3 linked regions of the Ovis aries genome follow. The protein of the gene in region 1 purifies or fractionates together with the protein of each later gene. This does not show direct contact. Links are inferred from orthologs where the notes say so. Each region holds a gene or a part of one and is shown in the gene's direction. Other genes may lie near its edges.

What was found.
Region 2: the proteins of CD84 (region 1) and SH2D1A purify together in Homo sapiens (affinity purification with western blotting; 4 studies listed by BioGRID and IntAct, with this or other methods). This does not show direct contact. The link is inferred for Ovis aries from reciprocal best matches to the Homo sapiens genes CD84 and SH2D1A.
Region 3: the proteins of CD84 (region 1) and SH2D1B purify together in Homo sapiens (affinity purification with western blotting; 3 studies listed by BioGRID and IntAct, with this or other methods). This does not show direct contact. The link is inferred for Ovis aries from reciprocal best matches to the Homo sapiens genes CD84 and SH2D1B.

What each region holds. Positions count from the first base shown.
Region 1 is NC_056054.1:111,591,730-111,595,242, reverse strand, and holds part of CD84 (SLAM family member 5), read left to right. Parts: intron 1-577; coding exon 578-640; intron 641-2,299; coding exon 2,300-2,365; 3' UTR 2,366-3,513. UniProt on the Homo sapiens protein: Self-ligand receptor of the signaling lymphocytic activation molecule (SLAM) family.
Region 2 is NC_056080.1:108,291,158-108,295,303, forward strand, and holds the start of SH2D1A (SH2 domain-containing protein 1A), read left to right. Parts: upstream 1-1,342; 5' UTR 1,343-1,517; coding exon 1,518-1,654; intron 1,655-4,146.
Region 3 is NC_056054.1:113,946,659-113,950,689, reverse strand, and holds the start of SH2D1B (SH2 domain-containing protein 1B), read left to right. Parts: upstream 1-1,227; 5' UTR 1,228-1,355; coding exon 1,356-1,489; intron 1,490-4,031. UniProt on the Homo sapiens protein: Cytoplasmic adapter regulating receptors of the signaling lymphocytic activation molecule (SLAM) family such as CD84, SLAMF1, LY9 and CD244. In SLAM signaling seems to cooperate with SH2D1A/SAP.

The sequences.
Region 1 (3,513 bases):
AGTTGCTAAGGGAGTTTCAAGGACACAAAACTGAGAGAGGTCCACTTGAACTTGACTTCTTGGTCTGGCTGCAGCAGCAGCTTATTTTCCATAGGCTGATTCACTCTGTCCCACAGCCTGCCCTCCCACCTTCCTTTTACCTGCCTGCCCCTCCCTCACCTCCACCCAGAACCAGGCTTCCTCATGGCATCACCTTCCTCTGTGCTTCTACCAGCCTGCTCTTCTGAAGTCTCCAAGGAGAGAAAGGGAAATTGAGGTCTGCCTGGTCAATCCAGCCCTGTACTTGGACCAATAGTTCAGCTGGGTTCATAGAGCCTATGAAAAGCTAAAATTCTGATTAAGCAAGACTCAGTCTGAACAACCAGACTGTTCTTCTTGGCTTCTGAGGTTCTTGTCCAATTGCTACCTATACCCACCCCAACTTGACCCGGATGCTCTCCACCTGGATGGAACCAAAGGTGAAGCTGGGAGAGGAAACCACTTAGTGAAAGTGAGAGCAGGGAGGGCTGATGGACAGAGGCAGAAGTAAGAGATTTGCCTGGGCTCCCTCACTGAGGGCAAGATGGGTGTTTTACAGGTGCTCCCCACCAAGGAGGAGCCAGTGAACACAATTTACTCCATGATGCAGTACTCTGATAAGGTAAAGTCTTTCTGATTTTTATCACTGTTGTCCTGTCTGTTCCAACTTTTCTTTGGCATCTTATCTAACCAAACAGGAGTAAACTGGTTCCCTTGGGACCCTGTGCTTCTCAAGATTAATTGCTGAGAGCCTTGATCTCCTTCCACACATGCACACAGCTCTGCTTCCCAGGTCCAAGGCCATTTACAAGCTGGCTTCCTTGATTGCTGTTCCCAGCTTTTCTATGAAGGAGCACCTAGGTCTCTGAACTGCAGTGGGGAAACTTCAGCCTCTAATAACATCCAGGGCCATTGCTAGCTCACAGTGTATAAATTGGAAGGCAGGTCTGCCATGCCCCAGGCAGACACAGGGCCACACCAGATGCACAGATAGGCAGGTAGAACACAGGTTGGATCCCAGTTCCCACTGGTTCCCTCAGCAGACCTTCACACTGTGCCACCTGTGCAAGCATTTGTAGTGCTCTAGTGATACTCATGTTCCCTGTGCCCCAGCATCCTTCTCTCAAATAAGCAAAGAGGGAAGGCAGGTCCTGGCCTTTGACAGGACTTTCAGCTTGGGGAACCTGCTTCGGTGTTGTTATTATCTGAAAGTCTTTGTTTCCACCACAATTAGGACAGCTTTGGGGTCTCTGGGTGAATCAAACATTTTGGAAGTGTTTCTGTCGAATAGCTGAGCTAATAGGCAGGAAGCTAACCATGAAAGATAAATTTGAACCCAGATTCCTGGGGAGAAAGGGATGATAATGATAACAAGCAACGAGTGGGATGAAATATTGGGATGTCAAAATGGAATGCAAATGAATTCATGAATAAGAATTAAAAGTTGATTCTATGAGTCATCTGTAAGCTAGACAAGTCGGAAGGTCATAAGGGAACTCAATGTACAGGTCAGTTTGAATGTCAAGATAAACCAAGTGCCCTGGAGAATAAGACAGAAGGACTTTGACTTCCTCAAGGACCAAAGATGGAAGGAGAAAGAAGAAAAGGAAGAAAATGAGTGAGGAAAGGGCAGGGAGAGGGGGGTGGGGTGGGAGGGGAAAGAGAAGCAAGTGAAAAGCAGGGCGCCAGCATGTCTGCACCAGGATTAGAAGGAGAGTAGGAGGAAACAGAAGAAAATACACTGGAAAGTAGTAGATTTGAGGGATTAATCAGGGACTCCTGGATTGAGACATCTCATAGTAAACTCTCTACCCAAGTTGGTTGGCAATTACTAGTTTGGTTAGTACGTAATTTAAAACCTAGGACTCCCTGAGCCAGTTGAAGAGTTGTCTGCAGTATTCTAAGTAAATACTTAGAATTAGTGAAAGTGACTCACCACTACATATAAGCCAAGGTGAAGTTATTGGGGTAAAGGAGAAATGAAGACTTAACTAGGAACAAGGAAGGCAGGTCACATGAGCCTGAATGTCGCTTCAAGCTTATAATCAAAATCAATGGAGATACCCACATCCCCACCTGCGGTTTTTTCTGAGTTAAGAGCGCTTCCAAATGGAGTGACTGGAACAGAGGTGAGGGACTCAGCAAAGGGCAAGATCCTGCTACCCACAGAGTACCCCAGAACCAGGGAAATCTAAGATGTCTTTCTAAAGGCTCCCTGTGGGACTGGAAATCCCAAGCAGTGCCTTTAAGTCAGCATTTCCCTCTTCTCCCTTTTGTACAGATGGAGAAAACCAGCATTCAGAACAGCAAACCGCTTGGGACTTCATGCTATGAAATTGTGATCTAGGTTTCCAGATGGAATTCTCCCCACAGAAACTGAGCTGCAACCACACATACTGGCAGATGATCCAGACCTAGACTTGCTCTGCCCAGATCTTACCCAGAGATTACAGATCACCAGATTCCAAATGTAAGCAAAGAAGGAGACACTCTGTTGCTGGGCATAACTTGTACTGAAATAGACAAATGCATCATGCCCTTTCTAAGATGCCTCACTTCCTAACAAATAGCAAGGCAGATCCCTTGGCACAGTGCTTCTCATCCTTCTTCACACTGCAACACATGGAGAAAATAATTTTTATGATAAAATGGAATAAACAATCAAGATTGCTCATGGCTGGAGGCTGTATATGACTGGAGGAGATGACTCTTCCCAGCAACCTCATATGTGGAGGATCAATATTTACACACCTGTAACCTGCCATGACACACCACTTAAGAGCCTCTGTTCACACTCAATATATGGGAGAAGCCCTGGTGCATGGCCTCACCCAGACCCCTACACCTTGGGCAGATAAGCCTCTCATTCAAGTGCATGACTTGATATATAGAGTGTGGACTGCATTTCAGGCTCTGTTTGTCCCTTTGCCTGCAAACATTTGTTCAGGGTATACCTGGCTGGACCAGCCCAACCCTATATCACTGTGTGGCATGGAAAGATGTCAGAGCCGTGGGTCTCAGCTGTGCAGACACACTCTTCCAATGGAGTGTTGGAACATGTTCTTTCTGTAAGGACTAGACTTCTGGGGCATTTTTCTTTAGACTCCACTTCAGGAACCACATATTTTTTTTATGGCTAAGTTTTCCTTCTGTATCCCTCTGTAATGGTTCATTTTGTGTGTCAACTTAACTGGGACATGGGTTGCCCAGATATTTGGTTAAGCATTATTCAGGACGTGAGTGTGAAGGATGAGATAAGCATTTGAATTGATACACCTTGTAAAGCAGATTAATCCTCCCCTCCACGTGGGGGGCATCATCAAATCAATTGAAAATCTGAATATAAAAAAAGGCAGAGTAAGGGAGAATCTATTCTCTCTCACTGCCTGACTGTCTTTGATCTGAGACATTAGCCTTCTGCCTTGCATTTGGACTGGAACTTCCACCATCAGCTTTCCTGGTTCTCAGGCCTTTCAACTCAGACCTCTTCAGCTT
Region 2 (4,146 bases), on another chromosome or scaffold:
AATTTTAAAAAGTATTTTACAGGGACTTCCCTGGTGGTCCAGTGGTATAAGATTTCACCTTCTGATGTAGGGGGTGTGGGTTTGATGAAGACCCCCTGGAGGAGGGCATGGCAATCTCCTCCGCTGTTCTTGCCTGGAGAATCCCATGGACAGAGGAGCCTGGTGGGCTACAGTCCACAGGGTTGCAAAGAATTGGACACAACTGAAGCGACTTAGCATACATGCATGGGAAGCTAAGATCCCAGATGCCTTGCAGCCAAAAAACCAAAGCATAAAACAGAAGCAATATTATAAAAACTTCCATAAAGACTAAAAATGGTCTACATCAAAAACAATCTAAAAAGAAAAAGAAAAGTATGTTACACACTCAAAAGAAAAAATGTAGAAGAGCATTCAGCTTCAAACATTAAACAAGGTCTCGTTCTAGTGAAAAATGAGGAAGTTTGGGGGAAATATTACTTAACAGCACATCTTGAAATACAAGAGAGAAGGAAACAAAGGTTGAAAGGTTCTAAAAAATTTGATAGCTTAGCATCAATTGAACAAAAACCATATTCTCTACTAACTACAGATGATAAAAGATACAACGCAATTATCAACACTCACAATGGACTTAAGTTTGATGTCCCAAATGCTAAAAGGTAGGCCCTGTATGTCAAAAGGCACAGACAAGTCCGCATGAAGGCAAAACACCAATGAAATGATTTATTCTCTCATCTAAGGCCCATCAAATAGATACATCTGGAACATCTTTGGACACAGACTGATTTTTGTACCTCAACCAGCACTTTGGGATCTTGGACAAGAAGCCTGGAAATGTTTGATTTGTTCAGGATCAAGATTGCTGGAGATGACTAGGAGGAGTCAAAGAGAAGGGGGAGGGTTTGGGGAGGGGAGGCAGTGGATCCCAAGTCCGCTGTTCACTTCTTGCCTCTGATTCCCTAGGAGCCTCCTGCCTGTGCTCAGTGGGGATCACCCACTGACAATACTGATGACCTCTGTGTTTTGGTCTCAGAGCTTTTGGGCCTTTCATTCTCTGTCAGTATGTTTCTGCCCCACATGAAGATCAACACGGCTTCCCTGTCTCATTAACCCCTTTGGGGACTATTTAAGCTAAGTCAGGGTGGCCTTCCTGGGAAAACTACAAGGACAGAAACATTACCAGGCATTCGTGTCTGCATGCATTGGGAGCACAGGCCACATCCTGCAAGGACCTTCTTCCAATAGTCCTCCCCTCTCTGTCCATCCATCCACCCCAACCCTTTTGTGGCAGAGGCGGAGCAGAGAGGGGAGGGGGGAATTGAACCCTAGGGCAGTAGCCAAGCTGCTAAACTGCTGACCTGGTTTTCACTGAAGTGCGAGAAGGAGGCTGTGAGGCAGGTAGACAACATCCTGTTGTTGGGGCGCTCCTTTCTCTTTTTTGAACATCTGGCTGAACAGGGAGGCAGGTGGCTGAGTCGTGCCTGGTTGCGGCGGCAGCAGCAACAGCGGCCTTTCCCTGCTACTGTCCCCTGGCCATGGACGCGGTGGCTGTGTATCATGGCAAGATCAGCCGGGAGACGGGGGAGAAGCTCCTGCTCGCCACGGGCCTGGATGGCAGCTATCTGCTGAGGGACAGCGAGAGTGTTCCCGGCGTGTACTGTCTGTGTGTGCTGTGAGTACATGACGGGGCCCTGGAGCCCCCACTGCCCACCGTGCGGCTCACGTCCCTCACTGGGGTTGTCTCGCCTGGGCTTCCTGCTCTTCAGAGGGTCTTCTCCAGCGCCTTTGGGGGCGGCTGTAGGAATGCTCTTTGCAGTGGAGGAAAAGGAGCCTAGAATTTACCTTTGCTGCCAAAAGGACTCAGGCTCCTGGCTTCAGGTTGGACCTCTGGTAGAGGCCAGCAAGGTGGAGGCCTGGGATGAGGGAATGGCCAGATATAGGGCCACCAGCTCCTCAGAGGAGAGGCCTTTCTCTCCAGCCCTCTGGCAATGGCTTTGAAGGTATCTTCCCAAAGGAAGATTTCAAATTCAAGGAGAGGAAGAAGACTAAGAAATGGAATCCTTTAAGACAGCAATACCAGTTAGGTCAGGATGTGGGAGAGAGGGACGTTTCTGAATAAAACCACCTCTCTGGATTTGCTTAATTAGCTTTCTTTACAGGAGTTGGAGGGGGGTGGGGTGGGGTTTCAGAAATAGGGCCTTTCCGTGATAAACGCTGGGAGAGACAATAGTCGTAAAGGACATGGAGGGAAAGCACCCTGGTATGATTCAGCTTTGCCCTTTACCTAAGCATCTCTTGGTCTAAAGCCCCATTTTGAATCAGATGCACCTTCATCTTTGCTCCAGGGCTCCAGGGTCAGGCAGAGCTAAGACCTAATCTTGTGCTAGTCTGATGCTGGCTTTGGCAAGTTAACCTCACAGTCCCTCAGTTTTCTTGTCCAAAAAGTGTAATATTACTACCTACCTCATAGGACTGAGCATTAAATGCTGTAATGCACGTAGAAAATTTAGCACTGGACCTGATGCATACTAAGTGTTCAGTAAAAGTAAGCTGTTGTTGTTATTATTTTTTCACTCTCTTTCAGTACTTTTTATTATAATATATTATATATATATATAAAATGTATATATATTTCAGTCAATATCTTTAAGTACTCACGGGGTGTTTCTAAGGAAGTCCCTAGCTCAATCACTCTTTGTTAGCAGGGTAAAAACACTCATGAAAGCAGCAGCCCTGTACAGTAGCTTCTAGACAGAAACAAAATGAGGGAAAATGCTTGGTTGTAATTTTGGTGTCTGATGATACATGGCAAGATTTTGAAGTTCCTTTAGGTCATTGATGAGAGATTGTATTGAGCCTGGTGTTAGAGGATTTTCATTGTTTATTGTATTATTTTTAAATGGGCAAGGCATATTTGTGGCAACTCTCAGGCCATGCTAAAAACGTTTGTTATAAAAGCTACAAGGGATATATGTGCAAGCTAGTGAATCCCTTGGGCTCAGATTTTAGGTTTTCCTTATATTATTGTTTCTCGAAAGTGAAAACTGGGGTAGGTCAGTGAAAGCCAACTCGTATTCCTAGGCTCTTTTCTTATCAATAGAAGGTGGAGGAGTGAGTGAACTGGTGAGAGGAGCTTCTTTAGGAAAGCTCACCAAAGGAGGTAATGGGACCCTCAACCTAGAGGTAAAAATTAAGGTACAAAAGGCCTGGGAAGGGAAGGAAGAGCCGGGGACAGTGTGTGGCAGGATGTTCCTAAGACTTCAGACGCACTGGCCTCTTTGTTGTTTCTCGAGCTTGCCAAGCTGCTCCTTGCTTAGGATCTTCACACTTAACTGTTCCTTCTCCCTCTTCTCTCAGAGAGGACTTCCTTGACTAGCCTCTAAAATAAGTCCCTTCTCCCTGTCCCAGTTATAATCTGTCACTTTAGTTTTCTTCTGGGAGCTTTCAGCTGTCTGACGTTTGCTTGTCTACTTTTGTCTTGCTGGGCTCTCCTGCTACAATGTAATCTCTCTGGGGCAGAGACACCATCTCCCGCACCAGGAACACAGCCTGGCATGCAACAGGTATCATGAGGCATGCAACAGGCACTCAATAAATGTTTCTGAATTAATGAATGAACTGTCAAGGCAAATTCTTTATGGCAGTAGGCTTTTGGGCTGATATCAGGAGGCCAGGATGTGGCCTCTGGGACATCACTCAACTTTTGTAGGTCTTGGTTTCCATATTTCTAAAACAAGAATAATAATGTGTGCTCTATCTTCTGCAGAAGATTATAGTTGGTAAAAGATGCAAGAGAGAAGGATAATCTTAGCCTATTACTCAAATTGGCCAGGGCCACGTAAGGAATTAACTTAGACAGATGGGAAATTCGCAGATTAAGTTTTTGTCCAAAGTGAATCTTGCCTAAATGCAGTTTTTATGACTGTAGGTTCTCCATGCAAACCTTTTTATGAAGTAGCAGAAAATAGTCGGCAAATTGGGAGTCCCCCTAACATATCTTTCAGTGGGCACACTGGGCCTCCAAGTCCTAGAGGCTAATGGCCAGACTGCTGCAGAGGGAAGACACAATGATACAGTGCCTTTTATGACAGTTTCTCAGCTTTTTTTTGAGCCAAGGATCCCTTCTGATAAACGTAAACATTTCATTTCCTCTTTTTTAGTACT
Region 3 (4,031 bases), about 2.4 Mb from region 1:
ATTGCCTCTTTTTGTAAATAAAGATTTACTTGAACATAAAAAATACTACTGTGTAGGATGGCTTAGTTCCTCAAAAAGCCTTGGAGGAAATGATGAATACATTTTGGGAATCTGAAGTACAGCATGGTGATTACAAGGAGTAATACTACATGAAAGTTGCTACAACAGTAGATCTTATATGTTCTCACAACAATAAAGAAATAGTAAGTATGTGACAAGATGGCCATGTTAGCTAATGCTGTGGTAGTAATCATTTGCAAATAGGAAATTAAATGGTTATACCTCAAATTTTTAGAATGTTACATGTCAACTGTATGTCAACAGGGAAAACAGTCTTAGAAATTACATTTAGGATTAATTCTGATCCTCAGAAAACAGAAACAATCTTTTCCAAGAATATCAGTTGACCTAAGTAGAAAAGGGTCAGTAGAAAAGATTTTTCTTGTCAACACCAGGGTGGCTAAGTGTCCTGGGCTGGATAGACTTTTCTTTATAAGGAACATTACTGATGCCCCAAAGGATGGAAACCTCAAAGGACGTGAGGTTTTTCAAATCAAAGCCTAATATGTTTTTTTCTTCCAGTTGGAGAAACATTCCTACACTAATTGTGCATATCCAGATCTCCCTCCCATGTGCACCAGCTCCTTCCCCAAAAGGCTCAATGCTAGAAGGTGTTAAAAATGGCCTTTATTCGCCAGCGACTAGGCGCCCTAGCCAGGCGATACTCCCCCTGGACCATCCTCCCCCACAGTGCCCAGTGCTTCCTATTCCCATCACTGTCTTACACGTCTCATGTCATTTGATCCATGGATGTCCTACCTTTCGATTGTTCCACTGCCTCTGGATATACCTGGATTCATTCAGCATCTGTACACTTTTTTTGAGCACCTGTTCTGAGCTGAGCACAGCATACCCATGGGTGGCTTCAGCAGGAGATGGGATCCCCTTTCAGCCAAAAGCATCCTTGGAAGGGATGCCACGAGCCAGAGAAGCAGAAAACTGGTGACTTAGGGTGAAATACAAGGATGGCTGCAACCAATTCTGAGGAGCTTGTGTTCAGCATTGAGCTTGAACCACAGACATTGTTGATTCCACTGTGTATTTCAGACATAGTTTAACCCACTTCCGTGAGTCATACTTAGGCCACTTATAGGCTGAAGTGTCTTGGTCACTTTATCACCCCACCTCTCTCATTTCCTGAATCTTGTGAAACTATCTGAGTCCCACAGAATAAACTTGTCTCACTCCTATGAGCCAGAGCAAGAAGAGGTATTTCCACAGGCCCCATTTAGGCCAGCTGCCTCCAGTTCTCTCCTCAGATTCGTCCCTCATCTTGGGGTACCGGAGGGCTCCCCATGGATCTGCCTTATTACCATGGCCCTCTGTCCAAGCGAGACTGTGAGACCTTGCTGCTCAAGGAAGGAGTGGATGGCAACTATCTGTTAAGAGACAGCGAGTCGATGCCCGGGGTCCTGTGCCTCTGCGTCTCGTGAGTAGCCTCACCTTCCATGCATATGTTAAGTGTAGGACTGATAACCAGGTGGAAAAGAAACTGTTCCTCACTGACTTTGCAGCCCAGACGAGCACAATGAGAAATAGCTAGACACTGCCACGAGGAAATGGAAGGAACATGTCTGTCTAAACTCCTTTACCTTTCCTTCCCTCCACACGCAGACACTGTGGAGCAGCAGAAGCGGGGGTGGTGGGAGGATAAGGCTTCAAGCAATATAGGAAGGGAGCAGAGAGGAGAGAAGGCAGCCATGCGAGAAAGTTCCTCTCCTATGGAGGCTGATTTATTTAGTAAGGAAAACATGAAATTTTAACCTGAGAAGCCAAGGTTTTACATGGCTGGCTCGGCTTGTGATTTTTAAGATACTAATAACATTTCAAACTTCGTTACATTTGTAGAAGGCTTCGGCAGACATTATTTCCCTTCGTCCTGCTTGTAGTCTGTCAAGGCAAGCCACCATTTTGTCGATGTAGAAACAGACCCTGGGGTGTGTGCAACAACTTGCTTGTGTTACAACACATCTGGTGTTTCCAAAGAAGCTGAGTTCCATGTGAAACTTTAAGCCAGAGCATCAGAGCCATACTGCTGAAGGAAGTTGCTTATCCCAGTTTAAAAACCAATCTTAAACAGATATCAGGGGAAATCAACTATCTTTAAAGGATTCTCCTGTTTGTGGAGACCACTGAATTTTTCTTTACCTTTTACAAGAATTAAAACCCAAGTGTCTCCAAGGATAAGCTTCAGTGCTTCTTAGAACTGGGGAAGAAAGAGTGCTATTACTGACAGAATAGACAGGGATGTCCTTCTTTCTTTATGTGACACCAGGAATCCAGATATAAGAAAGGCAGTCTTCAGGTGTTAGCAGTTTGAATTCAAGTTACAAGTGATGTTGAGAGTGCTTTCATGTATTTTTTAGCCATCACTAATTCTTCTTTTGAGAACTGCATCATCATATCCTTTACCCATTTTTAGCTTGAGTTGTTGTCTTCTTTCTACTGATTTTTTCCAATTTCTGTGTATGCAGGTAAAACTTTTTTTTTTTTTTCAAAAAAAGACGCACAAACACAAGAAAGCTACAGACCAATTTAAATTTCATTTACTATTAATTTTCAATAAACTACTAACAAAAGAGAAGCCAGTAAAACATTAAAGCAGAAAATACACTATGCTAAAATATACTATGGTCCAATCTAAGAAATTAAGGATGGTTCTATGTCAGGAAAATTATTAGTTTAATTGTGTATTAATAGGTCAGATGTTGCAAACTGTATAACTCATTCAGATTTGCTTAAATGATATTAAATAAAATTCAGCATCTACCCCTCAATTAAACACATACTCACATGTGCACATGCATGCACTCACTTACACACTCCTAACCATATATAGCCAGACAGATGCTTCCTTACCACCAGATGAAGCCCTGGAAGAATTATCCCTAACATCACGAATGAGCCAAAGTAATTGTGAGTACTACTATGTAACATTTTCCAGGAGATATCAGCAAGTGTAATTAATCAAAAGAAATAAATGTAAAAATTGAAAAGGAAGATGTAAAATTATTATTTACAGTTAACATGACTTTATACCTTTGAAATCTAGATTTAACTGAAAAAAAAAACCTACTAAAATCTTTAAGAAATTCAGTAGAGATAACAGCTTTTATCATTGAAATCTAAAAATCAACAGCTTCCATACTGAAATAATAACTAGTAAGAAAATATAATACACCTCATTTACATCAGCAATAATTAATAATACTTAGGAATAAATATAATATGAAATGTGCAAACTTAAGTATCCACTGGGGAGCTTACTAGAAGACTTAAATGAAAGGAAGAATTCCATTTAGAAACTTACCAGTTCACCATAATTAATCTATAAATTCAGCATTTTTTCAGTAAAAAAAAATCAACAGAATCTTAAATTTTCTCTTCAAAGATAGTAAAGTTTATCCAGATGGGAAATAAAACACAGGGAACCTGCTAGAGAGCCAGAAAAGTTTTTTATTAAAAGAAGGGAGACTAGCTTTACTAAATACTAAAATACATTACTACAGTAATTACTGCAATAATTAAAAGAGTTTGGTACTGAGAGATCAATCAAATATTTGGAATATAGAGTCTGGTAGAAATAAAGTGAAATACATATGGAATTTACTTTATATTCAAAAGATCATCTCGAATTAGTGAGGAAAAGATGAATGATAATTAACTGTGTTGGAACCCTTGACTGGTCACTTAGAAAAAATAACCTGAATCCCTTTCTTACTTCTTAAAGTTAATTCAAAGTGGTTCTAATACAGAACTTCTTTTTTCTAAATGAAACCATGTATATTAAAAGAAAACATGAACTATTAAAAAATATTCCTGGAATTGAGAAAGTCTTTCTAACAAGACACAAAACCAGAAAACGAAAAAGAACAGATGGCTAAATATGACCATTATAACAAGAACAACAACAAAAAAACTGTTAACGACAAACCGACAGAAGAAAATCAAAACTTCATTAACATGGAAGA